Linked DNA regions of Macaca mulatta. The protein of the gene in region 1 purifies or fractionates together with the protein of each later gene. This does not show direct contact. Links are inferred from orthologs where the notes say so. Each region holds a gene or a part of one and is shown in the gene's direction. Other genes may lie near its edges.

Region 1 (7,732 bases):
TGCAAGTCCTGTCCCTTCTGTGTCTGTTTTCCTCATTAAAATCAAGCTCAGACGAGAATTCGAGGGTCTCTCTTCCTGCCGCTTATGCATTATTTCTACTCACACAGGTTCTGTATGCCCTGAAAAATTGGGGTGGGGGGGGGGAACTCCAATTTCAAAGCTATTGGAAAACAGAAAAGAGAGGTCTCCAGTTCACCATCAGTCCCTCAAGTTCCTGCTGCCAATCAGACCCCCTTCCCCCACTATGGCTATTCTGTGATCACATCCTGGCTCCCAACCAAAGAAATAACCCAGGGCGGATGACAGCTGGAATCTCTGGCTGGCAGTCCCACAGGCCTAAGCTCAAATCTTGGTCCTGCCATTTATAAGGCATTTCCCACTTTGTGACAGGACTGTGAATCTCTAAGGTAACCTGACCTTAGAGAAGTCATAGGGAAAAAGAGTAAACATAGTAAATGTTTTGCCCAGACCCCAACACATGGTGCAGTCGCTGGGCGGCTGTGGTTATCTGGCCTGTCACTCAGTGCTGGGTGTACAGGGGAACACCCGCAAGCATCAAACCCGCCGGTACCTTCAGCCTTTCCGAGCACGTGAAAGGGGGCGTGGACAGCCCTTGCGGTCTGGGCACGTTCCTTGGAGAAGCAGGACTGAAGCAAAGAGAGCATTCTCCGGAGGAGGGAACTTCTCAGGTGGAGGGAGACCACAGTGCGGGCACAGCAAGACGCCGTGGAGGAACCCTCGCAGGAGGTCAGGCTGCACAGGCCAGACAGGATTCCCAGGACAGCCTTCTAAAGGATTTCTTTTTTTTTAGTTTTAAAATTTTACTTTTTAATTTTTTAAAGCTTTTTTTTTTTTTTTTTTTTTTTTTTTTGAGACAGAGTCTCACTCTGTCGCCCAGGCTGGAATGCAGTGGCGCAATCTCGGTTCACTAAAACCTCCGCCTCAGCCTCCCGAGTAGCTGGGATTACAGGCGCCCGCCACCACGCCCCAGATTTTTTTTTTTTTTTTTTTTTTGTAGAGAGAGATTTCACCATGTTGGCCAGGCTGGTTTCAAACTCCTGACCTAAGGTGATCCGCCCGCCTCAGCTTCCCAAAGTACTGGGATTACAGGCGTGAGCCACCGCGCCTGGACTTTGCCTGTTTTTTTTTGGCCGGTCTCTCTCTCTTGCCCAGGCTGGAGTGCAGTGAGGCGATCATAGTTCACTGCATCCCTCAAGCGATACACCCGCCTAGGTCTCTCCAGTAGCTGGGACTACAGGCGCGCACCACAACGCCAGGCTAATTTTTGTATTTTTTAGAGAGGAGGTCTCACTATGTTGTCCAGGCTGGTCTTGAACTCTGGAGCTCAAGCGATCCTCCAGCTTCGGCCTCCCAAAGTGCTGGGATTTCAGGCGTGAACCACTGTGCCCGGCCCAATTCATTTGTTGTTAAATCAACAGAGTTTACAATATGACCTTCTAAACATTGTTGACTAATGAGCTAAGATATCGTTGACTAATAAGCTACGATTATTTCCTTTATTGTACAACCTTTCGTTTTCTCCAGTGTAGAAAACAGCATCATTTTTCATTTGCATTTCTTTTTTCTTTTTTAATATATTTTTTGAGATGGATTCTCACTCTGTCGTCCAGGCTGGAGTGCAGTGGCGCGATCTCAGCTCCCTGCAACCTCCGCCTCCCGGGTTCAAGCGAATCTTCTGCCTCATCCTTCCGAGTAGCTGGGATCACAAGCGCCCACCACCATGCCCGGCTAATTTTTGTATTTTTAGTAGAGATAGGGTTTCACCATTTTGGTCAGACTGGTTTCGAACTCCTGACCTCAGGTGATCCCGTCGCCTCGGCCTCCCAAAGTGCTGGGATTACAGGCGTGAGTCACTGTGCCCGGCCGTCATTTGCTTAATTTTCTATGCATCACCCAAATGTTCCAACAGACGTGTGGTAAAAGCCTCTGAATATCATTGTCCGCGTGCTCAGAAGTATTAGATAATCCATCACAAATGAATAAAATTTTAGAAGTGTAAGTCAGTGAAAGAAATTCGACCCGGCACGTTCGGAGTCGGCTGCCCTGCTCTCCATCAGCAGGCGTTCCTGCAGCTCATCTGACCCTCTCCGCCCAGAAAGGCCTAGGGACCTACCCCAGGACGTCTGCGCGGCGAGGCGCGAGGGAGGAGAGGGAGTGCAGGGCGGCCCTGGGCGGCGGGGAGCCTCCGGGACAACACCAGCAGGTCCCCTCGCTGCGCCCCGCCAGCCTCACACTCCCGGCCCCGCCCACCCCTCGGGGCCCCTCCCAAGACCACGCCCCTTCCGTGGCCGTTGCTCCGCGCTTCCGCTTCCGGCGGCGCTGGTGGTGGCGCGCGACTCAGCGATGGCAGCAGGTGGCGGCGATCCGCGGGCTGGCGACGTAGAGGAGGACGCCTCACAGCTCATCTTTCCTAAAGGTTGGGCTCGGGGCCGCCAGACTGCCCCGCGGCACTTCGCGTGGTCGCCGCAGGCCTGGCGTTATCCGCGCTTCGCCCAAGGCCTGGCCTCGGCGGCGGCTTGGGCAGACCCCCGCGCGGCGTAGGGCTGGGGAGGGAACGTGGACCTGGGAGTGGCCGCCTGGGCAACTGGGTTATTTTATGTGATAACAAACTGCGAAGTTCCGGGCGCTGGTGTCAAAGGTAAACAAAGCCGGAAACCCAGGTGGTGAGGACAGATTTTTAAACAGGGATAGAACGTTGCACTAGAGAGAAGAGTCCAGCGTGAACCGAACTCAACTTCGATTAGTACCGAACCTCTGGGCGTTTTAAAGGAGAGTTAGGGAATAAGGATGTGGTGAGCGGGGGCTCAGGGGAGTCGGGGAAGTGAGAAATGTAAAAAAGAGGGAAGAGGAGGGTCCGTGTGAACCCACCTTGGTTTGTTGACTGCAGCATCTATCGAAGTTAGGCCCCTACCCTCCCACCGAGGCGGAGAGACAGAGGCCTATTTTCAGCCGTTGGCTGGAACAAACAAATTATTTTGGCAGCCTCGAGTTTTCTCAGGCACGCAGTGGTTGGGAAGGGTATTCCTAGGGATGAGGGCCTCAAGACCTCAAGTGATCCATCCACCTTGGCCTCACAGAGCTGGCATTACAGGCGTGAGCCACCTCGCCCTGCATTTTTTTTTTTTTTTTTTTGAGGCAAGATCTCATTCTGCTACCCAGGTTGGAGTGCAGTGGTGTGATCACAGCTCACTGCAGCCTCAACCTTCCCAGGCTCAGGTAATCCTCCCACCTCACTTCAGCCCCTGGAGTACCTGGAACTACAAGTGCACACCACCACACCTGGCTAGTTTTTGTATTTTTTTTGTGGAGACAAGATTTCAGCATGTGGCCCAGGCTGGTCTTGAATTCCTGGGCTCAAGTGGTCTACCTGCCTTAGCTGCCTGAAGTGTTAGAAAGTACAGGTGTGAGCCACTGCACCGGGCCTATTAATGGTCGTGATGACGGAACCTTACTAAAATTTCCAGATGACATACTGGCCAAGGAATTGTTTTCCTTTTTTAGCAACAGGGATTAATTATGGCCATTGTTCTTTTTTTTTTTTTTTTTTTTTGAGACGGAGTCTCGCTGTGTCTCCCAGGCTGGAGTGCAGTGGCGCGATCTCGGCTCACTGCAAGCTCCGCCCCCTGGGTTCACGCCATTCTCCCGACTCAGCCTCCCAAGTAGCTGGGACTACAGGCGCCCGCTACCACGCCCGGCTAATTTTTTTGTATTTTTAGTAGAGACGGGGTTTCACCGTGTTAGCCAGGATAGTCTCCATCTCCTGAACTCGTGATCCACCCGCCTCGGCCTCCCAAAGTGCTGGGATTACAGGCTTGAGCCACCGCGCCCGGCCCATGGCCATTGTTCTTAAAATATTTGCACAAGAGAATAACATGCAGATCCCCTGATCTATTTCCTTTTGTTTCCAAATAAATTTTGTGTGTGTGTGTGTATGCTTTCACTTGAAAATGTTTATTGGAATTAGCCATGGGGAGAAGTCTTGGATTCCTCCTCTCTGTAGTTATACAAAAGTGTCTGAACTGCCTCCCCCATCCCCATTTTGTTGATGGCGAATCCTGGGAATGCCTCCCAAAAGCTCTGTGGTAGGTCTCAGACACCCCTTTCCTAGGCCCTCTGAGTTACAGTTTGGCTGCCTTGACCTTCCTTGGTTGAAGGGAGTGAGGGTAATGTATTAGTAGTACTTGAATATTGTTCTTAATGAGAAATAGGGACAGTTGACTAGTTTCCTGGTGGCCTAAAAGTTCCATTCCTTTCCATTTAACAAGTAATTTTGGTTTAGTGCAGAAAGGGAGGCATCTGTTTTGTTTTGTTTTGTTTTTTTGAGACAGAGTGTTTCACTCTTGTTGCCTAGGCTGGAGTGCAGTGGCACAATCTCGGCTCACCGCAACCTCCACCTCCTGGGTTCAAGCGATTCTCCTGCCTCAGCCTGAGTAGCTGGGATTACAGGCATGTGCCACCATGCCCGACTAATTTTTGTATTAGTAGAGATGGGGTTTCACCATGTTAGGCTGGTCTCGAACTCCTGACTTTAGGTGATTCACCTGACTTGGCCTCCCAAAGTGCTGGGATTACAGGCATGAGCCACGGCGCCCAGCCTGGGATGCATCTCTTAACATTGATTTTTCCAGGACCTGTAAAAGCATCAAAGTTCCAACACACCGATTTGTAACTGATTAGCTACTTCTTCCCTTTTTTGTTTTGGCCTGATGTCATTTGTTACTGTCGCTTCAGAGTTTGGAGGTCCTGCAGTCCTGATATATAATGCCTTTTCCTCTACTCATTGCTGTGAGGCAGTAGTTTCTTCTGTACCTACAGTGCCTCAGTGTTAAAGATTAAAAGAAGTAAAGTTCCTGGTATACAAATAGGCACTCACTGTAGTACATCCCCTGTTATAGGCTGGAAGACAGAAAAAGGTGTTCTGAGGTTTTTGTTTAAACTCTCCTGCCCTCAGGTAGAAAATAGCTTTTGGTTACCTATTTTTTTTATTTAGATTTTAATTTTATTTCAATAGTGCTCCAGCTGTATTGGTAGCCTATTATATTCAGTAGCAATGAGTACCTTTCAAATAAAAATAGACTTTCCTCCTGACCTACCACTTAAACTGTCTGTGTTGTGAAAGGAGAATGAGGCTCTTGTCAGTTACCCGGCTTGAGAATTGGGAAGGCGTTACTCTGAGGGAGGTGTTAGTGATTTCCCCGATAATAAACAGACCTATAGCACGTGTAAATGTGAAATTGCAAGTCATTCTGGCTTTTCCTCACTGTTGCTTCCTTTTCGGTGAGGGATTATAAACATGAATTCGTGTTTATGAATGGTTCCTGCTCTAGGGGAATTCACTGTTAAGAGAAGGACAGATAAAAACGATCTCTAATATTTTGAGATAAACATCAGGAACATAAGATCCTGCAGGAACATAAGGGAGAGAGTGATTTTCCCAAGGGGTAACAGCATTTTTTAACAGAACTATTCTAGAAGTGTAGAAGGTAGCCATATATTATGAAAAGGGGCCATGGGTTTCTTTTTCTCTCAAACCTAATTCTTAAAAATTGCTTATAACATTTGTGTGGGTACAAAAATAGATTTGGGGGTACATTATTAATGTTTATTTCTAGACATTTGGCTCTTTTTAACACGTAACAATTCTTAAAATTGAGAGTATAATACTAGCATTATCGAAGTAGGAAGATGATGAGCTGATGCAGGCTAGAGGGCAGTAATTGTCAGTGTACTCTTGAAATCAGTAACTAGGCTATATGTGTCACTACTTAGTAGCATGTCTAGGTCAGGTTTTTGGTGTCAGAATCTAGTTCAGACAAGCTAAATGTTAGTGTCTCGTGAACTCCACTTTGCCTTGTGATATGTAACTGTGGGTGAATGTAAAGATGTGAGTAGCTGCAGCCATAAAAAAGAACGAGATCCCAGCCTTGGCAGCACGGCGAAACCCCCGTCTCTACCAAAATCATACAGGGCGTGGTGGTGCGTGCCTGCAGTCCAGCTACCTGGCAGGCTGGGGTGGGGGTGGGGGGTCACCTGAGCTCAGGGAGGTCAAGGCTAGTGTGAACTGTATTCATGCCACTACACTCCAGCCTGGGTGACAGATTGAGACCCTGTTTCCAAAAAAAAAATAAAAGAACGAAATCATGTCTTTTGTAGCAACATGGATGGAGCTGGAGGCATTCACTTAAGCAATTAACACAGGAACAAAAAACCAAGTACCTCACATTCTTATAAGTGGGAGTTAAACCTTGAATACATATGAACAGAAGGGAACAACAGACACTGAGGCCTAGTTGAGGGGGTGGATGGTGCGGATTGAAAAACTACCTGTCAGTACTATGCTTATCACTTGGATGACAAAATGGTCTGTTCACCAAACCCTCACAACACCCATTTCCCCTGTATTACAGACCTGCACATGTACCCTGAACCTAAAATAACAGTTCGAAAAAAAGTAGATGTGGGGTAGGAAACCCCTGGATCTCTGCAGGGAGATCATTGTGCATTCAGATGCACAATGAACATTTAGAAGCAAACTTTTGAAGGAGTATTTTCAGCTGCCATTTATGCTTCTCACAAATAGAGTTTGAAACAGCTGAGACACTTCTAAATTCAGAAGTTCATATGCTTCTGGAACATCGAAAGCAACAGAATGAGAGTGCAGAGGATGAACAGGAACTCTCAGAAGTCTTCATGAAAACATTAAACTACACAGCCCGTTTCAGTCGTTTCAAAAACAGAGAGACCATTGCCAGTGTTCGTAGGTGAGTGCTAAAAGAAAGTTTTTATTAATCCAAACCGTTGGACAACTGCATGTGGACTGCTGTCCCCTCCCCCTTTCCCAGGTGTCACCTGTGAATTTAAGTAAAATAATGTTGGGCTGGGCATGGCGGCTCACACCTATGCTCCTAGCACTTTGGGACATTGAGGCAGCAGATCACTTGAGGCCAGATGTTCAAGACCAGCCTGGTCAACATAGCAAAAACCTGTCTCTACTAAAAATGCAAAAATTAGCTGGGTGTGATGGTATACACCATGAATCCCAGCTACTCAGGAGGCTGAGGTGGGAGAATCGCTTGAACCTGCAGGCCAAGGTTGCAGTGAGCCGAGATTGCGCCACTGAACTCCAGCCTGGGTAACTTAGAAGACCAAAATTTCAGCCAAGTGTGGTGGCTTACACCTATAATCCACACTTTGCGGGGCTGAGGTGGACCAGTCTCTTGAGGCCAGAAGTTCAAGACCAGCATGGGCAACATGGTGAAACTCCTGTCCCTACAAAAAAAATACAAAAATTAGCCAGGTGTAGTGGCAGGTACCTGTGGTCCTAGTTACTTGGGAGGCTGAAGTGGGAGGATCATGTGAGCCCGGGAGGTTAGGCTTTAGTGAACTGTGATTGTACCACTTTACTCCAGTCTGGGAACAGATTCAAATATGACTCTGTCGTATTTTATATAAGTCCAGTATGTGTGATCCAAATGGTACTGTTAGTGGGGAAGTAAGGTTTTTTCGTTATTTTTTTGTAGCGATGGGGAGACTTACTGTGTTGCCTAGGCTGGTCTCAAACTCCTGGCCTCAATTGATCTCCCACCTTAGCCCCCCAAAATGCTGGGATTGGCCGGGTGCGGTGACTCACGCCTGTAATTCCAGCACTTTGGGAGACCGAGATGGGCAGATCACTTGAGGTCAGGAATTCGAGACCAGCCTGACCAAAATG
Region 2 (6,750 bases), on another chromosome or scaffold:
TGGTAAATTGAGACACGAGATTCTTGGATTTTCCTGAGACCTTTCTCCTTCATCTCTCGAGACCCAAAGAGAATAACCTGAAAAGGCAGCTAGTGAGGATCTGCAAGACCCAACTGAGAGAGCTTAAGAACCGGAGAATTCAGAGGCAGGTGAAGGCTGGAGTTGTGTTTGGGGGAGTTTTGTTTGGAATCACTCCTTTGGCTCACTGCAGTCTCCGCCTCCTGGACTCAAGCAATCTTCCCACCTCAGCCTCCGGAGTAGCTAGAACTTATAAGCGTGTGCCACCACGCTTGGCTAATTTAGCATTTTTTGTAGAGATGGGATTTTGCCATGTTACCCAGACAGGTCTTGGACTCCTGGGCACAAGTGATCCACCTGCCTCAGCCTCCCAAAGTACTGGGATTACAGGCGTGAACCACCTTGTCTAGCCCAGAGTCACTGTTAATTTCTTTTGTTGGTCCATGGCAAGGTTTGCAGATGACTTTGTTTGGAAAGCCTGAATCTGTTTGTAAAAGCAGGGGTGGGGAGTGGGAAATCACAGTGTTACTACTTGAGTCTATTTAGTGCACTATAAAAATTACTATAGCCTTAGTGTAACCTAATGAGAGCTTGCCATGAATTCCAGCCTGCTTGCCTCTCTTCAGGAAATTAATCTGGGTCATTTGACTGTCCCAGTTAAACAGGTACATGTTTTAACAGTTTAAAAGGCAATTGCTACCTGTATTTGGTTATTCCGAGTATATACCCAGTTGTCCTTGCCGATACATTTAAACCTCTTAGCCTACAGATCTTTTCTTTGTACAGCCTCAGTGTTTTGTGTTTTTTATTTTTTTGTGGAGACAGGGTCTCACTGTAGTTCCCAGGCTGGTCTCGAACTCCTGGCCTCAGGCAGTCCTTCTGCCTCAGCCTCTAAAAGCACTGGGATTAAAAGCATGAGCCACCGTGCCCAGGCCAGCCTTGATGTTTATTAATCCTTTTCAGTGACAGTCTCACTGTCACTCTTGCTTTTCTCTAGTGATTCCTTCCTCCTACGCCTGCTCTTACAATAGGCGTCCCTACGAGAAGAGTCACCCAGTGGCATGTAGAGCTCTGGGCAGGATCCGTCCACTTCCAGAGTGGCCTGAAGACTGGAACACATTTCTTTTTAGTTAAATGAGTTTCTTCGGTAATGTCCGGAATATAATATCAGCCTAAGCATGATATATAGGAATCCCCTGTACCCCACCCTATACCCCCTTCCAAACAGAAAAGCGTTTTTTGGGTTTTTTTTTTTTTTTTTTTTTTTTGACATGGAGTCTCGCTGTTGCCCAGGCTGGAGTGCAATGGCGCAATCTCAGCTCACTGCAACCTCTGCCTCTCAGGTTCAAGCAATTTCTCCTGCCTCAGCCTCCTGAGTAGCTGGGATTAACAGGCACCCGCCACCCCACCCAGCTAACTTTTGTAGTTTTTAGTAGAGACGAAGTTTCGCCATATTGGCCAGGCTGATCTTGAACTCCTGACCTCAGGGGATCTTGCCCGCCTCGGCCTCCCAAAGTGTTGGGATTACAGGCGTGAGCCACCGCATCTGGCCACAACTGGGATTTTTAAGAAATTCCCTAGGAGAAAGTTAGTTGAACTTAAAGTGGTGTCTAATTAGATCAAAGTGCCTTCCATTTTAGCTTCAGTGAACTTGCCAGGTTGGTCTGATGATAACTCAAGAGTAAGGAGTCTTGGATTCTGATCCCAGCTCAGCTTCCAGAGACTCGGTGGTTTTCAAACTGTTCTTGAGAGACTCCTTCAACTGAAGGGCTCCCTAGTTGCCAAGAGTGGTTGGCTCTGAGTCGAGGTGGCTTTGATTTGTCAGCTTTGGTCAGAGAATTCAGGTGGGGGCAGGAAGTCCCTGTTGTGTAGTTGTTTTGCCATTTTACCCTTTTTGTACCTTCAGTTCAGGAGAAGTTTATTAGATGAATCCATGTCCAGAAATAGAGAATTAGTCACCTTCATCCTATATATTAATTTCCCTTGAAGTATAAACAGCCAAAGAAGAAAAGTACTTGTGGGAGAAAGGGGGTTCAGATCCTCAAATCTGAAAATAGTTTTCAACTTCAAGAGTGTGAAAGGTGACTATTAACCGAAGTCTTAGTCTCAGGAGTTACTTCATGTGGCATGCTTATGCCTGATGTTATGTTTTAGATATGGCTCCTTCATTCGGCACATGTGCTGGATGCCTGCTGTTTGCTGGACACTGCAGAGCCTGGTGGATGCTGGGGGAAGCAGATGGGTCTCGTCCTGGCCTCCAGGAGCTTACTAGTTAAATGTGGGAGTCATTGCTAATCATTTACATAAGTCATTGTTTAATTTTAGTTGTAGTAAGTTTACAAAGGAAAGAAATGGGCTGCTAGGAGAGCTCACTCTCTACCGTTTTCTGTTCCTTTGTGGACTGCGTGAGGAGCTGTCCTTGTGGATGGGAGACCGATTGCCTGCAGTAATGGGGAGAGGATATTCCTGGTTCCCTCCTCTCACTCCTTGCTTGGACTTTGGTCTTTACAACTTGAACTAAGTATTCTTCATTTGACCTTTTTCCTGCCTCATTATTCTTCCCATTCTTTAGCTTCTGCTTTCTGCCTCTTCAGGTGTGCATCAGGGATCTGGTATCAAGGAATTTAGAAGCTGAAAAGAAGTGTTATGGTCCAGTTCCCTCACTTTCAGATATGGAAAAAGGGAACACATCCACGGTCACACAGCAGGTTAGAGGTAGAACCAGGACTAAATCTAGGTCTCTGCCTCTCAGCCCAGTGCTTCTTGTTACATTCCTGCAGGAAGGGCTTTCTAAGTCAGCAAGGGCCCAGCCTCAGGGACCTATTTACCCTTGCAGAGACACCAAGAGGACAAAAAATAAGCCCAAGGGGGCCGACAGCCCCAGACTTCACATGGCCTAGGGTTGTTTTCTGTATATCTTGGCAGATGTATCAAGAGTACCTTTTACTGGGAGCTGAGGAAAGAAAAAAAAAATGCCCCATTCCTATCATTAGGGGATTCGTATTCTAGAGGAACATAGAAGTCTCTCATGTGTGGAGAGAGCATAGAGCAGCTTGCTAGGGGCTCAGGTACACTCCCTGTGTGAGGGGGAGCTCTGGAGCAGGAGGAGATGGGGAGTCGTTTCCTGGATGCAGAGCAAGGATTTTCCTAGAGAGGTGGAGTCCAGATAGTCCGAGGGCAGAGGAGCGGAGGCCAGGCTTTCCTAGGGCTAGGAGAAGAGAGAGACCCCTCCAGGCTCGCAGGGAGTCCTGAAAAAATGGTCCACACAAAGAGGGTTAGGAGGTTGTGAGAAACACCTTGGCAGGGGCTGATTTTGCAAGACCTTGAGCTCTGCTCTGAAGGACCAGATCACGGAGCTAGTGGGTGCCGTGCCTCACTTTCTCAAGGGAGTGGTTTCATGAAAGCTGGGCTTTCGGGAGAGAAGTCTGATGGCATTTTAGGAGCCCTAGGGGTCAGGAGGCCTCACCAGGGATTTACTGTAGTGACTCAGTCATGGAATGAGGAGGCCCTGGTCACAGGGAGTAGCAGTGGGGTATTTTGAGCTTCTATAGTGTTTGTTTGCAAAACATGATAAATTTAGGTTAATATCCAACCTTTGACATAGAAAGTATAACTTCACTGTGTTTTTTCTAGCCGTGTTTAGGTGGAGTCCGCAAAGAAATTGTGAAGCTCAGGTGTCTGTATTTTATTGTATAAGGCATTTTGAAACTTTTGAGAACGGACAAAAAGAGAATGCAAATACTAAGTGTCACTTCTTTTTACTTCCAAATCTCAACCCTAAGTTGAATACCATTTAATTCACTGTTGCCAATATTGTACTCTACGTTCCTTTTTTGATAGAAAGTTTTGCCTTTTGAGCATTTGAAGCCCTAGCTTTGTGATATAGCTGAACAGGGTGAGCAGGCTGGTTGGGACAAGGAAGAACATGAGGATGGGAGTAACTGCCCCAGCTCCAGCAGCACCCAGGCCCTCAGCACGCACAGACTTAACAGTATTGTATTCTCTTTGTCTCCTTAGGAATACAAACAGAAGCTTGCGCGAGTAACCCAGGTCCGCAAGGAACTGAAATCCCATATTCAGAGCTTGCCAGACCTCTCACTGCTGCCCAACGTCACAGGGGGCTTAGCCCCCCTGCCCTCTGCTGGGGACCTGTTTTCAACTGACTAGGATGGGTGTCATGTCCCAGATTTCTGTTTGTACCAGCAGAAAGAAGAGGTCAAGTCATGGTTGGAAATAACCTTCTAGCCCCTGGTTCTATCCCTTCTTCCGCCCAGCCCCCCAGCCTCAAGAAAGAACCTCAGGCTCTGATTCTCCTCTTCAGCCTCTCATCTTGAGCACAGTTCAGAACAGTGGCGACTGGAATCTGGTTTATATTCATATTTGCAAAGACTACAGACTTTTTCTCCCACTTCATATTTTCATGCGCCCCTGTTGGTTTTCCATTCTTAACTCTCTCCTTATACCTAAGAAGTTATGAAGATCATGTGTACTTCTGGAAGCTTTCAAAAGAATCTTGTCGCTCATGACAGCATTTTGTCATGAAAGCAGCTTCTCCTTTCTGAGCTGGGCTTGTTCAGGTTCGGTGTGGGCTTCCACTAAGGCACTTGTCCTGGAGATGTTGGCTCTCCCAGCTACATCTGCCCCAAAAGGTTGGAGGCACAGCTGTCGTAGCATTGCCATAAAGAGTTTGCCAAATCTCTGATCCTCCCTTTCCATTACTTCTGCTAGTGATGCACAAAGATTATAGGTGCATTTATTTTGTAAACAGATTGGAGAATCTAGCAATAAGATTCAAAGCTAATCTGGAGCATAAAGGCACAGTTCAGAGACAGAGTAACAGGGAACACAAGCATGAATTAAAAGTAATTTATTTGCTTCAGTTCCTAGATACAACCTTCCCACACCGCACTGCTCCACTGTCGGAGCACGTTCTGAAAAACAGGATGCCTTGATCCCTGGTGGGTGCGAAGGCAGTTGTTAGGGGTGGCAGACATTGGTGGGCTCCAAAAGATGAAGGCCCCACACACAGGTGTGCTGCATTTGGGCTCTGTGCGGGTGTTACTTGGACCCTTTCTTCTGGGAGTAGGGTACACACTAACGTTTAATCCACTGTCTGGGTGCATGTCCACAGTATGGTGACTAAACTCGAGTATCACTGCAAATAGGACGCTGAGCAGGTCCGTCTGTCAGGTCACACCACTGCACAGGTCCTTGTCCCCACACGATGGGGAGTACTTGCATCAGATGTTATTGAATAGCTCGGGCAGGGGAAGCGGGGAGTTGGGGATATTAATTGGGGGTTTTAATTCTATTATCATGTCAGCTGACATTATGACTATATAATGTAGTTAGAGACGATTTTTATCTTGCTTATAGTAAAGGTTCAGCCTGCCAATTGTAAATCATTCTAATTTGGCAGGCTTATTTTTGACATTGGAAAGGGCAGAAAGCGATTTGCCCCAGTAGTGTAATAGGAGTTATAGACCAGAGGCTGAAACCCAAACTATATAAAAAGGAATTCCATGGAGGGGGCTTTGTAATCTCCATTAATTTGTGTTGCTATCTCCAGGATCACCAAAAATTACATGTAATTTTACATGTTAAACACATTGAAACATAATCTATGTTTATGAAGCGTAACGGGCTTCCCTTCCAGAAGCTCTCATGCTTGTCATGAAGTGAGAACAATGAAAAGTCGTAGCAGATATTCAGTTTAACTCTGTGTAGAACCTAGTAGTGTTTGAGCTGTTATTCCAATTTGAATTCAGACTGTGTGTTGTTTGCTTATTGACACTGCCGTTGTTCTGTCACTGTTAAATTAATGAGTCTATAAGGTTTTTCTTCCAGAGGCCATAGGTGACATCACTAAAATTGCAAGATCAATTGTAATCTTTGCTGCTGCTGCACTCCCCAACCTCTCCCCCGCCCCCTGTGGTGTGCTGCTTTCTAGATGAGCATGTTTCGGAGCAGGCCCATCTTGGACACTCTGTGCTTTCACCAAGGAAGTGAGATCTGACCAGCCACAATCCAGCCGAAAGAGGATCATAGATATTTGCTCTGATCAGCTAGATGAAAATGTAACAGAATGGATTTAGCCCACTGCTCTGTTTTATCCAACTGAGTCTCTGACCAGCAATTAGTGCATAATTATTACAGCAAAAGAAAGAAATGAAACTAGCAATTATGTAAATGAATGTGTTGGCCTCTTAATACCTGTTACTAGTGAACTTCCTGTGAGGAAGTTAGTTTTTTGTTTTGATGAAATGCTTTGGTTTTTTAAATCTTAATTCTGCTGTCCACATCCTCCCAAAGTGTGCTTACTTCATTTGTTTAATTTAAATGAACCTTCCTCCTTATATGTATGAGGTGACTTGGTGGGTGGGGTGGGTGGTTTTTGTTTTTGTGTTTTTTCTTTCTTAGGGCATCTGTAGGCCTCAGAGGACCTTTCCTTTAGGTCATATTCCTCAGAAAGTCTTCAATCTTCCCTTGTTTTTGTTTGTTTGTTTTTCTTAAAGAATATTTTCAAAGCTTAAATTTGTATATTAATTTAGGACTATTTAGAAGTATAGGCTGTCATTGGCGGCAGCAGTATATTCTGAAATGTCTCATAGATATATATTTTTGAATAAAGATGGTGTTGTTGAACAACATTGTGTGATTTTTTTTTTAACCTACCCTGTTACTGAAAACTGCCTTTCTTTGTAAGCAGTGGTTGATTAGTAATCACCAATA
Region 3 (7,768 bases), on another chromosome or scaffold:
AGTGCCAGACCCTGGGGTTGCCCAGGTGTTCTGTCTCCTCCCTCCTTTCTGGCAGCAGGATGGTGTCTGCCCAAGGACAAGGACACTTTGTGCCACTAGGCTAGCTGGGCCTGGGCAGTGTTCTGCTCTGCAAGGACTGCTGCTTCAGGAGTATGTGGGGAACCAAGGCTCCAAATATACCAGGGTGAGGTCAGCAGGGTGGAGGTGAAGCCATGTGGCAAGCCCAGGGACTGAGTCGGTGCTGGAGTGCCTGGGCCAGGGTGTGGTTGGCCTTGCTATCTGTCTGGGACTGGCCTCCTAATGGCGCAGTCCTCCCCTGCACTGATCCCTGCCCATTGCATGAGGAGTGCGGACAGGACTGCATCTCCTCTCTCATCACCCACCCACCCCCACCATGATGCAGCTTGAAGCAGGGTTTTCAGGGTCATTTGGAGCCCTGAATGAGAACATTGCAAGGCAAGGCCGTTGTTGCCAAGGAGCAAATGGGCCCATTGGCAGAGGGGCAGCTTTGTGGGAGCTCTGCAGGGACTGCTGTCGTGGCTCTGTGGTCACTCTGCAACTTTACACCCAGAGGAGACAACACAGGGGAAGGGAGGGAGGGGCAGTGGCTGCCTTGCCCTGGAAGTGGGGCAGAAGAGTAGAAAAGCCAGAATCCATGAGGCCAGCAGAATTAACAGCCCTCAAGGACGTCCACATTCTAGTCCTGGAGCCCAGGCATGTGGTACTGAACATGACAGATGTGACTAAGGGAACAGTCTGGAGATGGGGGGGATGATCCGAGATCATCTGAGCAGGCCCTGCCTAGTCAGGGAGTCCTTAGAGATGGCACCTATCTTGGCTGGGTCAGAGAGATGCCGGGCGAGAACTCGGCCTGTAGCTGGCATAAGGGGAGGGGCTGTGAGCTGGATGCAGTGCCCTCCAGAAGCTGGGAATGGCTTCGGATGACAACCAGCAAGAAAATGGGCCTCATTCCTGCAGTGTAAAGAGCTGAACTCAGCCAGACGCCGTGGCTCACGCCTGTAATCCCAGCACTTTGGGAGGCCGAGGAGGGTGGACCACCTGAGGTCAGGAGTTCCAGACCAGCCTTCAACATGGTGAAAGCCCCATCCCTACTAAAAAAATACAAAAATTAGCTGGGCGTGGTAGCGGGTGCCTATAATCCCAGCTATTCGGGAGGCTGAGGCAGGAGAATTGCTTGAACCCAGGAGGCGGAGGTTGCAGTGAGCTGAGATCATGCCATTGCACTCCAGCCTGGGCGACAAGAGGAAAACTTCGTCTCAAAAAAATAAGTAAGAGCTGAACTCTGCTAACACCTGAAGGAGCAGGAAATGGATCCTCCAGAGAGGATCCCAGCCCAGTGAGACCGAGACCTGACTTCTGAGCCCTAGAGCCTGAGATGATAAATGTGTGCTGTGTAAGATGCTGAGTTTACAATCACGTGTTATGGAAACTCATGCCACGCAGTCTTGGCAAGGATGTGGCCTGGTGGGAATGGAATGGAGCAGCCTCCCTGGGGGCGAGGTGACCACCCTGCATGGATGTGAAGCCCCGGCTCACCCGCGGCTGTCTGTGCATTAGCCCAGAGTCAAGTCTGTCACTGCCGTCAGTTGCAGCCTTGTTTTGTAATGGCGAACAGAAAGTGCCTAAGTGTCCCACAACATTCAAGTCGGGCCTTCCCCACTCTGGAAGGGATGGTGAGCCAAATGAGGGGCTCTGTTTGAGGCTGGACATTGCTGATGTTAAGTCAGAAAAGGCAAGAACCACGGTCAGTTTGGTTTTGAAATATGTGACAAGTGTAGATGTATACGCCTGCATACACAAGGGATATTTTTGGAAAAAAATGCAAGGTAATGCTACAGTGGCTGGGTCAGAGATGCCCATTTCCTTGTGTGCCCTTTTACGCTGTTTTAATTTGTATCATGTGCCTGCTTAACTCCTTTATCATGTTGGGGTGGGGGTGGGGGGGAGTTGTGTAATCTACTCACTGTGGTTTCCTCAGGGCCCCTGGGTTCCCGCCTGCCAGCCAGCCCACCAGAAACCTGTAGCTGCTGGAGGTGGCGGTTGAGCGGTAGGAATTCTTGTTGTAACAATTAAAGGAGTTAGTAATGTGTGGGAAGTGCTTAGAACAAGGTGTGGCTCCTAGCAAGATCCTAAAAGGGTGGGATTACTCGGTCATAGGATGTGTTCATGTTTCACTCTGCCAGACAAAGTCCAGCCGTTCCCAAAGTCGGCTGTACCCCCAGAAGTACCTAGTATTGTCAGTGGGGTGCGTGTATCATATATCCATTTGTGGGTTCAGTTTGAGTTTTCCTAATTATTGATAAAGCTGAGAAGCTGAGCATTAGCGCTGACATTTCATTGCACAGTGCCTGTTCCTGTCTTGTAGCCACTGTGCGCTGGGTTCCTGGTCAGCTGCACTGCTGCACAGGCATTCTCTGTGTGTTCCAGATACAGCTCCTTGGGGCTTGTGGTCTATGCCTTCTCCCACTTTGTGACTTTCTGCTCTCTTTATGGTGTCTTTGGATTCAAATCGACTGGTTTATTATGTATTGAATTTTTTTTTTTTTTAACGGAGTCTCGCTCTGTCACCCAGGCTGGAGTGCAGTGGCGTGGTCTTGGCTCACTGCAACCTCTGCCTCCCGGGTTCAAGCAGTTCTCATGCCTCAGCCTCCCGAGTAGCTGGGACTACAGGCGCATGCCAGCACACCCAGCTAATTTTTTTATTTTTAGTACAGATGGGGTTTCACTGTGTTCGCCAGGCTGGTCTCAAAACTCCTGATCTCGTGATCCGCCCTCATCGGCCTCCCAAAGTGCTGGGATTACAGGCGTGAGCCACCCGCGCCCAGCCTATGTATTGATCTTTTAAGCTTTGTGGATTTTATTCGATGAATTCTTCAGTGTCTCCTCTCCCACTCCCATCAGATGGCAGAGTAGAGGTCATTTTAAGTATCAGGAGCAGCTCTTGTTTCACAAGCATCCTGGGTTTCAGCAGGTGGGTGGATATGTACCATGTACACTGGAGGGTTTGGAGCAGACCGCACACCACACACTGGAGGAGGTCGGACAGCGGGTGAGGATGAGCACTGGGCGCCAGGTTGGCCTGGGGAGCAGGTAGGAGACTACATGGAGTGGGGGCTTCAGTGCTGCCAGCTCCTCTTGCTCTGGGGTTGGGGAGAGACTGGAGCAGGCTGGGGTAGGGTGTCCCTGCCTCCCAGGGGAGAAGGGCAGGAACCTGACAAATGGCTTTTTCTTTATTTCCACAGATCCGGAACATGGTGGCGGTGCTGGAAGTCATCTCCAGCCTGGAGAAATACCCCATTACCAAAGAGGCACTTGAGGTGAGTATCCCAGACCCCAGCATTTGGGAGTGCAGAATGGGGGACAGGGGACGGCACCAACCCAGTTCCTTCCCCAGCTTCTAGGAGCGTGTGTCTTTGCTTCAGAGGACCAAGAGAGGCGGTGTGCCCTCACAGCTTGTGCCCCGTGATCTTGCTCTCCTGTGGCCACTGCAGTGACCAAGTGGCATTAATCCCATCCTACCTGCCCAGCACACTTCATGGGCACGTGGGCACGTGGGGACATGGGGACATCAGGAGAGGTGTGCTTGGGGGAGGCTCCAATGAGAGGCGCCGTCCCCAACCCTCCACTTGAAGCAGACCCTCTGTGCTGCCGCCTTGGCCACAGCACCCTCTCATCCAGAAAGCCTCCCTGGCAGTGTCCTTACAGTGGCCTTGACAGCCCCCTGGCACCAGGAGCCTGCGGGACAGCACTGCTGAGAAGCCACCTGGGACTCTGAAGGTCTGGGGACTAGGTTTGAGAATTTATATTGTCACAAAGGACCGGAAATCCCCAGGAGTTTTGTGCCAGGGAGGCTGGCAGTTTAGGGCTCAGTGGGAACCAGGTCATTTCATTGTCAGGGCCATTTCCCACCATTTCTGGCTCAGCTCATGGGGAAGTCCCTGTCCCGAAAGTATGTCATCATCTCTCTTTCTGGTTGTAGGAAACACGACTTGGGAAGCTCATCAACGACGTCCGCAAGAAAACCAAGAACGAGGAGCTCGCCAAGCGGGCCAAGAAGCTGCTGCGGAGCTGGCAGAAGCTCATCGAGCCAGCGCACCAGCATGAGGCAGCGCTGCGGGGGCTGGCGGGGGCCACTGGCTCTGCCAACGGGGGTGCACACAACTGCCGGCCGGAGGTGGGGGCGGCTGGCCCGCCCAGGAGCATCCATGACCTGAAGAGCCGCAATGACCTCCAGAGGCTGCCCGGGCAGCGGCTGGACAGGCTGGGCAGCCGCAAGCGCAGGGGTGACCAGCGTGACCTCGGCCACCCAGGGCCACCACCTAAGGTCTCCAAAGCTAGCCACGACCCCCTGGTCCCCAACTCATCCCCCCTCCCTACCAATGGCATCAGTGGGAGTCCAGAGAGCTTCCCTGGCTCCCTGGATGGCAGTGGGCATGCAGGCCCAGAGGGCGGCCGCCTGGAGCGTGGCGAGAACGACAAGCACAGTGGCAAGATCCCCATCAACGCTGTGCGGCCGCACACCAGCTCCCCAGGCCTGGGCAAGCCCCCTGGACCCTGCTTGCAGCCAAAGGCTTCGGTGCTGCAGCAGTTGGACAGGGTGGATGAGACTCCGGGGCCTCCCCACCCCAAGGGGCCCCCTCGCTGCTCTTTCAGTCCTCGGAACTCACGGCATGAGGGCTCCTTTGCCCGGCAGCAGAGCTTGTATGCACCCAAGGGCTCCGTGCCCAGCCCCTCACCGCGGCCCCAGGCGCTCGATGCCACACAGGTGCCGTCACCGCTTCCACTGGCACAGCCGTCCACACCCCCTGTACGGCGGCTTGAGCTGCTGCCCAGTGCGGAAAGCCCAGTGCGCTGGCTTGAGCAGCCGGAAAGCCACCAGCGGCTGGCGGGGCCGGGCTGCAAGGCAGGGCTGTCCCCAGCCGAGCCCCTCCTGTCCCGGGCGGGCTTCTCCCCAGACTCCTCCAAGGCGGACAGTGACGCTGCCTCCTCAGGGGGCTCGGACAGTAAAAAGAAGAAGAGGTACCGGCCTCGAGATTACACGGTTAACTTGGACGGGCAGGTGGCTGAGGCGGGCGTCAAGCCTGTCCGGTTAAAAGAGCGGAAGCTCACCTTTGACCCCATGACAAGACAGATCAAACCTCTGACCCAGAAAGAGCCAGTGCGGGCAGACAGCCCTGTGCACATGGAGCAGCAGTCCAGGACAGAGCTGGACAAGCAGGAGGCCAAGGCCAGCCTCCAGAGCCCCTTTGAACAGACGAACTGGAAGGAGCTGTCACGCAACGAGATCATCCAGTCCTACCTGAGCCGGCAGAGCAGCCTGCTCTCATCGTCGGGCGCGCAGACCCCGGGGGCTCACCACTTCATGTCTGAGTACCTGAAGCAGGAGGAGAGCACCCGGCAAGGGGCCAGGCAGCTGCACGTGCTGGTGCCTCAAAGCCCGCCCACAGACCTCCCCGGGCTGACCCGGGATATCACACAGGACGATCTCGACAGAATCCAGGCCAGCCAGTGGCCGGGGGTGAACGGGTGTCAGGACACACAGGGTAACTGGTATGACTGGACGCAGTGCATATCACTTGATCCGCACGGCGATGACGGGCGCTTGAACATTCTGCCTTATGTCTGTTTGGACTGACCGGCCCGTCAGCCACGAAGTGCATTCCCATCTTGCAGAAGCCGGGCGGGCGGGCAGGCAGGTGGGTGGGTGGCCGGGGCCCAGCTGCCTCCTGCACTGGGAACTCGGGGAGTCCGGCCCGGGCAGGAGGGAGGGGGCGGGAGTCACGCGGTCTCTCTGCACTCTTCCCTCAAAACTCTCCTTTTGTGAAATGCTGCTACCAGTTTACTAACAAAATTGCGAAGGAAGGACCGCGTGGAAGGAAGGACGGCAAAGTGAGTTCAGAACTCTATAGCAAACCAGCTATAAAAAGCGTTAGTCCCTCACCCCTGAAGAGGTGCGGACACTTTCCAGCACCTGAAAGCTGGGACCTCAGTTGCAGGCAGGCACAGAAAACCTGTGGAGAGGTTACCTTTAACACAGCAACAGAAGCACGCATCTCATCTCTCTTGCATTTTCTGTTCTTTAATTTGGCCCTGAGTGTCTGTGAGACAGTGGGCCATGCTGCCTCTGTTTGCTCCCTACCCAGCCACTGTCAGGTCAGTGTTGTCCGTCATGTGCCAGAAGCTTCTCAGCTGTGGTGAGCCACTGGCATCGGGCAGGCGGGCCAGCTGGCCAGCCAGGGTGACCCACACTCCATGGGCAGCCACCTGTTTATATCTGGTTTCAGTTATAACCCCGTTTTTAAAGAAATGCTGCAAAAATTTAAGTTTTTTCATGTTTATTTTAACAACTCCTTCCATCAGACCACCAGACAAAAAAAAAACCTTTCCTTTCTTCCTCCCTTTCTTTTTTCCCTTCCTGTACACATCTAGAAAACTTCACCTTTCTAGAGTCCTCCCAAAACAACACAAAAGTGACTGTGGGTGCTACTGGTTTTATGCTGTACTGTGGGGCGAGGGGGAGACCTGTCTGTACGCTGGAAACACTCATAACCATTCCTTTAGATTCGTTTGCCTTATGGTTATTTGTCATAAACGCGATTTGCAAAAACAAGGAGCCTTAGTGAATGTACAGTACCTAGACTTCTGTGTTCTCAGGACGCAGAAGGGAGCAACTTTGCTATTTGGTCCAGTAAGTGGACACCTTGTGATATAAATGTGGAAATAAAAAAAAAAAAAACCATTTGCACAAACCAGTCTGAGAATCTTTTCTCATTTGGACCTTCACAGCCAAATCAGCCCTTTCCTGGATTGTAGATTAGCCAGAAAAACCTAGACCCCAACAGCCGCAATGCAGGGAGACAGGACAGGGCACTGTGCTTTGAAGTCCACCTGCTAGCCTGCTGCTGCATTTGGGAGGACCTTCACATTTTATTCATTCAGGGCCACATTAAGGAACGTTATCTTGTCTCACCCAGACTTTACCTGGCCTAGAGAGCAGCCCTCCGTAGGAGGCTCCATAGCATAGGTCTCAGTGACTACCCCCACCTTAACAAAATACCAGAGACTTAGAGCTGTGTGTGTGTGTGTGTGTGTGTGTGGCAGCCCACCCTGTGGCCCTGGCCCCCGGCTGCCTTACTAGCTGGTGGTTGCTGACTCCAAAAAAAATAGTTCTCCCTTGACTATAAAGTGATCATCTTTTAAGTTCCCCCTCTTCCCTGAAACTGTAGGCTAAGACTTTGGTTTTCTAGTTTTTCACTTTGGAATAGGTCATCTTATCCGTATCTGCTTAATTTCACAAATGAAGAAACAGCTACACCTTAAGACATGCAATCTCACAGAGCAAACCAAGGGTTCCTTCCAGCCTGTAAGACTACAGTCAGTCCAGAGCCAGTTTCAGAGCTAGCAGGGATTCCTGGCAAAAGCTTGGTGCAGAATACACTCCCCTCCCCAACAAAAGGCCATGGGCGAAGTGGCTTTGAGGGCAGGATGAGGTTGAACCCAGGCCTGCCACCCACCAGCTGTGTGGCTCTGAGCTCATCTCTTCACTCCTGTGCACATGTCCCCATTTGGGGGGTGAAAATACCTACCCCAGAGTTTTGAAAACTAAAACACACAGCATGTCAGTGGAAGTATCTGACACTCAGCTGTGCTGTAGGGTGCCTATAGTTACATTTTCCCAAGTTCACTGTGCCTATGTTTAACAGCTCTGCTGATATGTGGTGTCTCAAGGATGTGACTTTACTCTGAT
Region 4 (7,847 bases), on another chromosome or scaffold:
GTTCAGCTGCAAACAGGTATAACCTGTAGCATTCGTTGTTTCTCTCTTTAGTCTTCATTTCTCCATTGTTATTTATATCTTTTTCTCTAGACCCTGCTGTGAAAATTTGTGTCCTAGACACTTATTTTTTGTTTGATAAATTATAAAAGAATAGTTTGCCTATTTTCATTCTGAAGTGTGAATAGCCTGCAAGTAACCTGCTTCTGTTGTAGAGTGATGTTTTCCACTTGCCATGCCTCTTGGTTACTGACAAAATTAGACAGTTTGTGCTTGGATGCTGGTAGGAATTCAGATTTGTATTATGGTATCTTGAAGCCCTAAGCCATACTGTATAAAAGATTCTATCCCAAAGCACTGAAAATATCTACACAGTAATTATGATTAATTATGTAAAAAGTCTAAGATTTGTATTTAAGAAACATTTCATTAAGAGAAAGAGGAATATGAGGGAAAGGTAGAGAAAAAAATATGAGAGAAGGAGATTGTGTCAATTAGTACCTGCTATGTTCCTGAGAGGAGAAAGAAAAAGTACAATTATAGCTCCCTCACAGAAAGGACTTTACTTTTGTTAGGCAAGGAAAAAGAAATCTTGATGCATAACACAATTAGAGAACTATAATATGTTTCATGCAGTGAGGTTCCAACTTTAAGCCCTATAGTTGTGCTCAAAAGAAAGAGAAATTTAGTTTGGAATAACATAGGAAAGTTCAGGGAGGAGGTGAGACTTGAGCCAAGACTTATAATTGGCAAGGGGAGGAGAGACAGCCTTCCAAAAAAGGGTAACAGAAGGGGGCAAAATTCTGAGGCCTGAAAGAAAGGCATCCTTGCTTTGGGGACACCTGTGGCCCACAATCAGCGCCTGGGGAGTTCACTACTGTGGGGGAAATAAAGGCCTCCAGCTGGGGTCCAGGGTGGGGCAAAGGAGGCTTGTGGGGCTCTCACCACTGTAAACCAAAAATAAAATTTGAAGGCCCCCCTCAACCGTCTGAATGAACTTCCTCCTCTAGTCCAGGGTCCTCCAAATTTAACCTAAAAGACTGGCTTAGGCCATGATGGGAAGGGGAGGTCAGACATGCCTCATTATGCCCTTCTTTCTTTTAGAATCCAGGAAAAGCTGCACAGCATTTAATATCAACATCTACCTTAAGTCTGATAAGAAACACTTACAACTTACTTTCTCTGAAGCCTGCTAACTGGAGGCTTCATCTATATGATAAAACTTCGGTCTCCACCACTTCTTATGGTAACCTAGATGTTCCTTTAAATCAACTGCCAATCAGAAAAAAATTTAAATCTACCTATAACTTGGAAGCCCATCTTGCCCCACACCTGCTCTGCTTTGAGTTGTCTCACCCTTCTGGATTAAGCCAATGTTTATCTTAAATGTATTTGATTGATGTCTCATGTCTCCCTAAAATGTATAAAACCAAGCTGTGCAACGACTGCCTTGGGCATGTGTTCTCAGCATCTCCTGAGGGCTGTGTGATGGGCCATGGTCACTCATATCTAGCACAGAATACATCTCTTCAATATTTTATGGAGTTTTTTTTTTTTTTTTTTTTTTTTTTTTGTTGACACCACAGACAACCAACTGACTCGAGGAGCTTACCTATTTCTCATTCAGCCAATGCTGGAGCAGGTTATTAACATCCTTGAAAGCAAGTCTTATACAGAGAAAACTTATTTTGATATACTAATGAATCTGATCTGAATGGACTAGATTGGGGGGATAAAAAAATGGTTGCAATTGTGCTCCCTGGAATAGCTTTGGAGTTTACCTAGATCTTCTGTCTCTTTGGGATGGAGCTGCTTGTGTTAATATAGCATCTTACATAGGATTGAGACAACTTCAATTTCCTATATAAAAAAATCGGGGGAGGGCAGTGGTTTTGGAGGTTATGGGGGTGTTCAAACCTCCCAAGTGATATCTGCTGTGACTGCATGTCTTCCTACTGTTTCCATTGGGATGCATCTCTGGTAGGTGAACTATAACAAGAAACTAAAAGCTGTGTCCAATACTTACTAAACTGTCTTCTTCTCAACAGCTGGGGGAAAGAAAAAAAAAAGTCTTTTCAACAATTTTGCACATTTGGAGATAGGCCTAAAGTGAAGAAGGGAATTTTCAAATTGGTGTGTTGGAAAAGCCGCTGGGCTTTTGGGTTTGAAATCTGGTGCTGTCACTTACTGGTTTTGTGCCCTGGGAATATTTATTTCAGTTTTCATGACTCTTTTTCTACAGGCAAAGTAGAAAATTATAAAAGGTCCTCAACCAGTTTGTACAGCTGCTCCCACTCCCTCATCACCTCTTGTGGGCCTTTGGAAATGTATGTTGGGGGAGACATTTTGGATTTTTGCAATTACTTGGGAGTGCCATGGCACCTAGCAGGCAGAAGCCAGAAACACCAAATGTCTTAACAATGCCTGAGGCAGTGCCACAAATGAAGTCCTGCTCCAAATGCAATGAGCCCCGAAAAGAATTGCTGATTCTAAGGAACCTTCCAACTTTAACATTTCAGGACGTCCCTAAGCTGAGCTAGGAGGCACCACACACAGGCCGGAGTCTCCCAAATCCTGTCCCGCACTCTCCTCTACCTTATTAACGGCCAACTCATCTTTCAGGTTTCGACTTGTATTTCACTTCTCAGAGATACCTTCCCAGGTGCCCACCCCAACGTCACTATTATATTATTTGATTCTCCGTCCCTCCGTCCCCCGCGCCAACTCTGTAAACCCCAACTATAACAGAGGACGTGGCTCTTTGTTGACTAACACATAGTGCTTGGTGAGGTCACGCTGGCGCCAAATACTTTTTGTATAAACCTATGAACAGCTGACAACCGGATGAATGCTCACACGAGGGGAAAGGGCGCCAAACCCAGGCGCCGGCGTCCTCCAACGTAATTTCCGCCCTTTAGCGCTCCTCCGGACGCCCCCTTCTCCCGGTCCGTGTTTGTTTCCGGCATTTCAATAAAGCTCGATTCGGCTCGAGGAAGACCCCGTTCTTCCGGGAAAATGGCGACTCCCGCTCGAGCCCCGGAGTCACCGCAGTCCGCGGATCCGGCGCTAGCAGCGGGGCCTGCCGAGGAAGCCGAGTGCCCGCCGCCGCGCCAGCCTCAGCCTGTGCAGAATGTCCTCGCTGCCCCGCGGCTTCGAGCCCCAAGCTCCCGAGGACTTGGGGCAGCGGAGTTTGGTGGAGCTGCGGGAAATGTTGAAGCGCCAGGAGAGACTTTTGCGCAACGAGTAAGCTGGGGTCCCGCGGAGTCTCCGCCAGGCTCCTTCAGCTCGAGCTCCCTGGGCGCTCCCCTCCCCTCCCCCACTCTGTTTCCTTCCCTGGAAGGTGACCTTGCCTCAGTCACATTCGCCTCAGTCCTACGGGCGAGTGGACGGAGGGCTTGCTGTCGCAGAGCCGTGCCTCTTCCTGGCCAGGCACGTAGGCCTGCGAGGATGGCTCGGACTGAACGGCTACTTATTGTTGCAGGCAGTTAGTAGCCCCTCGTTGGTTTTATTTACCCGGGGACTGTGTTAGTTCCATGAAGCAAGAGTCTTCATTCTAAACCCTTTTGTCGCCCGCACCCCTAACCCATAACAAATTGTCAGCTTCGTCTCTGGATTCTACGCTTACAGGAACCGTAGGAAATGGGAAGAGTGGGATATGAAGAGGCGTTTATTAGGCCGGGAAAGTTCGACCCCCAGTCAGCTGGTTGATTTAACGGATTTTAGCAAGGGAGCCACGTGATAAAAGTGATTTTGTTTTTCAGGCAGCTTTGTTTAGCAGCTTGTTGCAAAAGATGGTTTGAAGGAATAAAAAGCGGGAGACAGTAGATGGCTATTTTCAGAGAGGCTCCCCACGAGACAGTTGTAAGAAAGTGAACTAGGAAGGGATTGGGAGAACTTTTAAGCATAGAGTCATTTAAATGTAGTTGACAGAGATGGCTGAGTTTTCCAATTTGTATGGAAGACCACTAGCAAAAATAGGAATATTCAGGGAGAGGAATAGATCCGTGGTTGATTTTACATAGGGTGTTCAGAGTTGAGGGGAGAGCGGGACAGACATTTGACTAATTGAAAACCAAACACTTAAAAGCTGGAGAAGTTGTCATTAGGCTCAAGAAAGAGAGAACTCTGGAAAAATATAGAAAACATAGGAATTTCAGCTGTAGAGTGTTGTTAATAGTTGAAATAGTGGGAATGAATGTAGTGTCAAAAAGAACAAAGGACCTAAGATTTTTCTCTCCATTTATTGTATAATTAAAGAAAAGAGAATCAAAAAAGGAACTCTGTCATCTAGCAAAAGGGACAAATAAATAATTGATTGGGATCAAGGCAGGTGTTTTTACCTTGTGAGAATAGGTTTTTAATCTGTAGTAGTGAATTAACTTTTTGGTCTCAGGACTCCTTTATACTTTAAGATTTTTTGACATCCCGAAGAACTATTTTATGTGTTCTGTCTAGTGAAGTTTATTTACTTATCAGAAATACAGCTGAAGTCTTTAAAACATAAGCATACACAAGCACACATTCTATTCTAGAACAATGATGTCATCATATGTCATGTAGCCACTGGAAAACTCCGCTGTACCCATGTGAGAAAATGAGAGGGAAATAACATCTTAGTATTATTATGAAAGTAGTTTTAAAATAATAGGCCCATCCCCACACTCCACCCCATCCCCAAATTGTGGGGATTGCACTTTAATGACTGCTGGTTCTTAGAATGTCTTATGTGATTATTACATGCTTAAAATACTTTTGCCGAAATTCTAATTTGCTGAGACAAATGAGGCATATATTCCCTATTCCAGCATTCCGTTGTTTTTTTGTGCTGTTTGGATAATGACCGTTTTATTTGTTTTATTCCTGTTTTGGGGCAGTTAGAAATCAGATATTTGACTTAAAAATCAGCTTTTCTTTCTTTGAAGATAATGCTTTGCCTTTTTAATGTTATATGTCAAGTTAAAAACATGGCTGTAATGTGTATGTATTCTTTTCCATTTGACAGAAAATTCATTTGCAAATTGCCCGACAAAGGTAAAAAGATCTTTGACTCTGTTGCCAAACTGAAAGCTGCTGTTGCAGAACATGAAGAAGTTAGAAGAAAAAGTGAACTGTTTCACCCTGTTAGTTTAGACTGTAAGCTAAGGCAAAAAGCAATTGCAGAAGTTGATGTGGGTACAGATAAGGCCCAGAATTCTGACCCGATACTTGATACTTCATCACTAGTTCCTGGGTGTTCCTCTGTAGATAATATCAAGTCATCTAAAACAACCTCACAAAACCAGGGACTTGGACATCCTACTCATGAAGGTGATGGAGAGACTCCAGAGGTTGAATACACAGTGATTAAGGGCCCAGCTTCCAGCAACAGAGACAGGGTACCGTCTTCATCTGAAGCTAGTGAGCATCACCCGCAGCGTCGTGTTTCAAGTCAAGCAGAAGATACTTCCAGCAGCTTTGACAACCTGTTTATTGACAGGTTACAGAGGATCACCATTGCAGACCAAGGTGAACAACAGTCAGAAGAAAACGCAAGTACTAAGAACTTGACAGACCTTTCTAGTGGGACTCAGAAGAAGCCTCATTACATGGAAGTGCTAGAAATGCGAGCCAAAAATCCAGTGCCCCAGCTGCATAAATTTAAAACCAATGTGTAAGTACCATCGGAAACAGGCCTATAACAGGAACATGATATTTGTTAAACTCAAAAAGTTAAGAGAAACTGGGTGTCGTGGTGCTTGCCTGTAGTCCTAGGCTACTCAGGAGGCTGAGGTGGGAAGACAGCTTGAGTCCAGGAGTTGTAGACCAGCTTGGGCAACTTATAATAAGACCTTTTCTCATAAATAAGGAGAATGCTCTAAGTTCCATGGGCTTTGTATGAGAATTACTTGTATTTAGGAAAGAACATATTGTGGAAACACTGAGACCAGCCTGGCTGGAGTGGAAGGTTCATGCTGAAAAATATTTAGTTTTGAAACTAAGTAATTGACAGGGTCTTAAATAGCACTTGGGGGAATATTAAATTTCAGGACGCTTAGCCAATATTTCATAATAAACACAGAGTTGGAGAGAATTTATTATGATGTCTTTTTTTCAGAACTATTTTTTAGTGTACAGCTCTAATTAGTGTACTATCAAAGTGTACTCTCTTTGATTAGTCTGTGAACTAAGGATAAAGCAATTGCAGGAGCTGATCGGCTTTCCAGCAAAAATTATTTGTATGCTCACTGAATGTAAGCAAGCAGCAGGTGTTGTGGGGACACAGTGAAGTCAAGATTCTTAAACTTCTTTGCCTTTTTGATGTTATACCTCAAGTTTAAAAACATGGCTGTAATGTATACATGTATAATGTAATACAACACCATGTTCTTCAAGGAGTTTCAGAGCTAGATGAGGACACAAGGTTTACACCCTTGGAAAAGAGTTAAGCTACATAATAACAGTTTCAGGGGGAAGGAAGCTGAGGAGAGTTTGAAAAACTGAAAATAGATTCAGGCAGGATAGGCAGAAACTCTCCTTATCAGTTCCTTGCCATAAATTTGTTTCTGAAATTTCAGGAAAAGTAAAGTCTTTTTGAAAATAATTGCTATTTACTTGCAGCAAATGTAACATTCAACTCAAAAGGTACCTTCCTATACTGTATTTACAAGTATGTAACATCAAATACAAAGTTAAATTACTACTACCTTTCTTTGAAAAACAGAAAATCTCTAGTGAAAAGTGCCTAACACATGCTTCTTTTTTGTTAGACTTTAACTCTACCCCAGCATTCATTTTAACCGCAAAACATTTTATTTCTGCCGTATAGAAAATCAGGATTATACTGCATTAATGTGATCAAGTCATCTCTTGTGTACAGTGAGGTGTCTTTCTTCACTTCCAGGATGACATTTTAGGAAACTAGAACCATCATCTAGTCAATAAATACAACAAAGAATACATTAATCCCAGTTCTGTATTACGGTCATTTAGCTGGGAGTGGGAGAGAGGTAAGGGAATAGTGATGAGGGCTACCAAGAATTCAGGAAGTTGAAGAGACAGGGAGCCTTCTGTATAGTTAGAGGAGAACAGGAAAGACAGGGCTTTGAGGAGTCCTTATGCCATAGACAAGGATTTAGAGGGTTCCATGTGAGAAGTGGCTTGGAGGTTGGAAGGTGGGGTCATTTAGTGTCCTTGGGTCCTTTCTGCTCTTCCTTCTGCATACTCTTCTGGTTTCATGTATCACCTGGATGCTGGAGGCTGACCCCTGTCCACCTCTATCCCAGATCTTCCCAGAACTTTAGGTTTGCATAGCCAATTAACCATGAAACTTGACCACTTGGGTGTTCCTAGGCACCTCAGCTTAATCATGTACAAAGTGGAACTTCTGTTTCTTTCCAAGGTAATTTCCATATTTCCTAATAGGACCACTACGTTCTTTGTTTTCTTCCCCTAAGGTATCTTCCATTTTTCTCATCTCCGTATCTGCTAGCCATGAAGACCTACTTATTTCTTTGATCTTCATCTCTATAATTGTTCTTCATCTTCTGTCGAAGTGAAGACTCTCATCTCTCTCGGGCTATAATTGTGGCCTCTTCTACCTCTAGTCTTATTAACTACCAGTCAGTCTCCACTGCTGCCAGAGTGAAATTTGTAAGATGGAAATCTGAATTTGTTACGGAGAACTCTTCATTGCAGTCTGGGCCCAGCCTACTTCCCAGCCTTCTTTCTGGCTGTCTTTTCTGTGTAGCCAGAAAAGCTGAGTCTCTCTACCTTCTGTACTTTCTCTCACTCCCCTTGCTGGGATGCACTTCTCTCCTTATTTAAATGGTAAGCAGTTATTCCAAGACTCTTCAAAGCTTTTTAGAAGCTTT

The links.
Region 2: the proteins of POLR2D (region 1) and RPRD1B purify together in Homo sapiens (affinity purification with mass spectrometry; 3 studies listed by BioGRID and IntAct, counting the BioPlex papers as one, with this or other methods). This does not show direct contact. The link is inferred for Macaca mulatta from reciprocal best matches to the Homo sapiens genes POLR2D and RPRD1B.
Region 3: the proteins of POLR2D (region 1) and MED26 purify together in Homo sapiens (affinity purification with mass spectrometry; 3 studies listed by BioGRID and IntAct, with this or other methods). This does not show direct contact. The link is inferred for Macaca mulatta from reciprocal best matches to the Homo sapiens genes POLR2D and MED26.
Region 4: the proteins of POLR2D (region 1) and POLR2M purify together in Homo sapiens (affinity purification with mass spectrometry; 3 studies listed by BioGRID and IntAct, counting the BioPlex papers as one, with this or other methods). This does not show direct contact. The link is inferred for Macaca mulatta from reciprocal best matches to the Homo sapiens genes POLR2D and POLR2M.

What each region holds. Positions count from the first base shown.
Region 1 is NC_133417.1:9,417,178-9,424,909, forward strand, and holds the start of POLR2D (DNA-directed RNA polymerase II subunit RPB4), read left to right. Parts: upstream 1-2,347; 5' UTR 2,348-2,364; coding exon 2,365-2,437; intron 2,438-6,601; coding exon 6,602-6,782; intron 6,783-7,732. UniProt on the Homo sapiens protein: Core component of RNA polymerase II (Pol II), a DNA-dependent RNA polymerase which synthesizes mRNA precursors and many functional non-coding RNAs using the four ribonucleoside triphosphates as substrates.
Region 2 is NC_133415.1:90,950,294-90,957,043, forward strand, and holds the end of RPRD1B (regulation of nuclear pre-mRNA domain-containing protein 1B), read left to right. Parts: intron 1-4,035; coding exon 4,036-4,185; 3' UTR 4,186-6,649; downstream 6,650-6,750. UniProt on the Homo sapiens protein: Interacts with phosphorylated C-terminal heptapeptide repeat domain (CTD) of the largest RNA polymerase II subunit POLR2A, and participates in dephosphorylation of the CTD by RPAP2. Transcriptional regulator which enhances expression of CCND1.
Region 3 is NC_133424.1:17,070,821-17,078,588, reverse strand, and holds MED26 (mediator of RNA polymerase II transcription subunit 26), read left to right. Parts: upstream 1-2,927; 5' UTR 2,928-3,009; coding exon 3,010-3,111; intron 3,112-3,263; coding exon 3,264-3,338; intron 3,339-4,000; coding exon 4,001-5,656; 3' UTR 5,657-6,770; downstream 6,771-7,768. UniProt on the Homo sapiens protein: Component of the Mediator complex, a coactivator involved in the regulated transcription of nearly all RNA polymerase II-dependent genes.
Region 4 is NC_133412.1:35,008,140-35,015,986, forward strand, and holds the start of POLR2M (protein GRINL1A), read left to right. Parts: upstream 1-2,998; 5' UTR 2,999-3,127; coding exon 3,128-3,240; intron 3,241-4,999; coding exon 5,000-5,647; intron 5,648-7,847.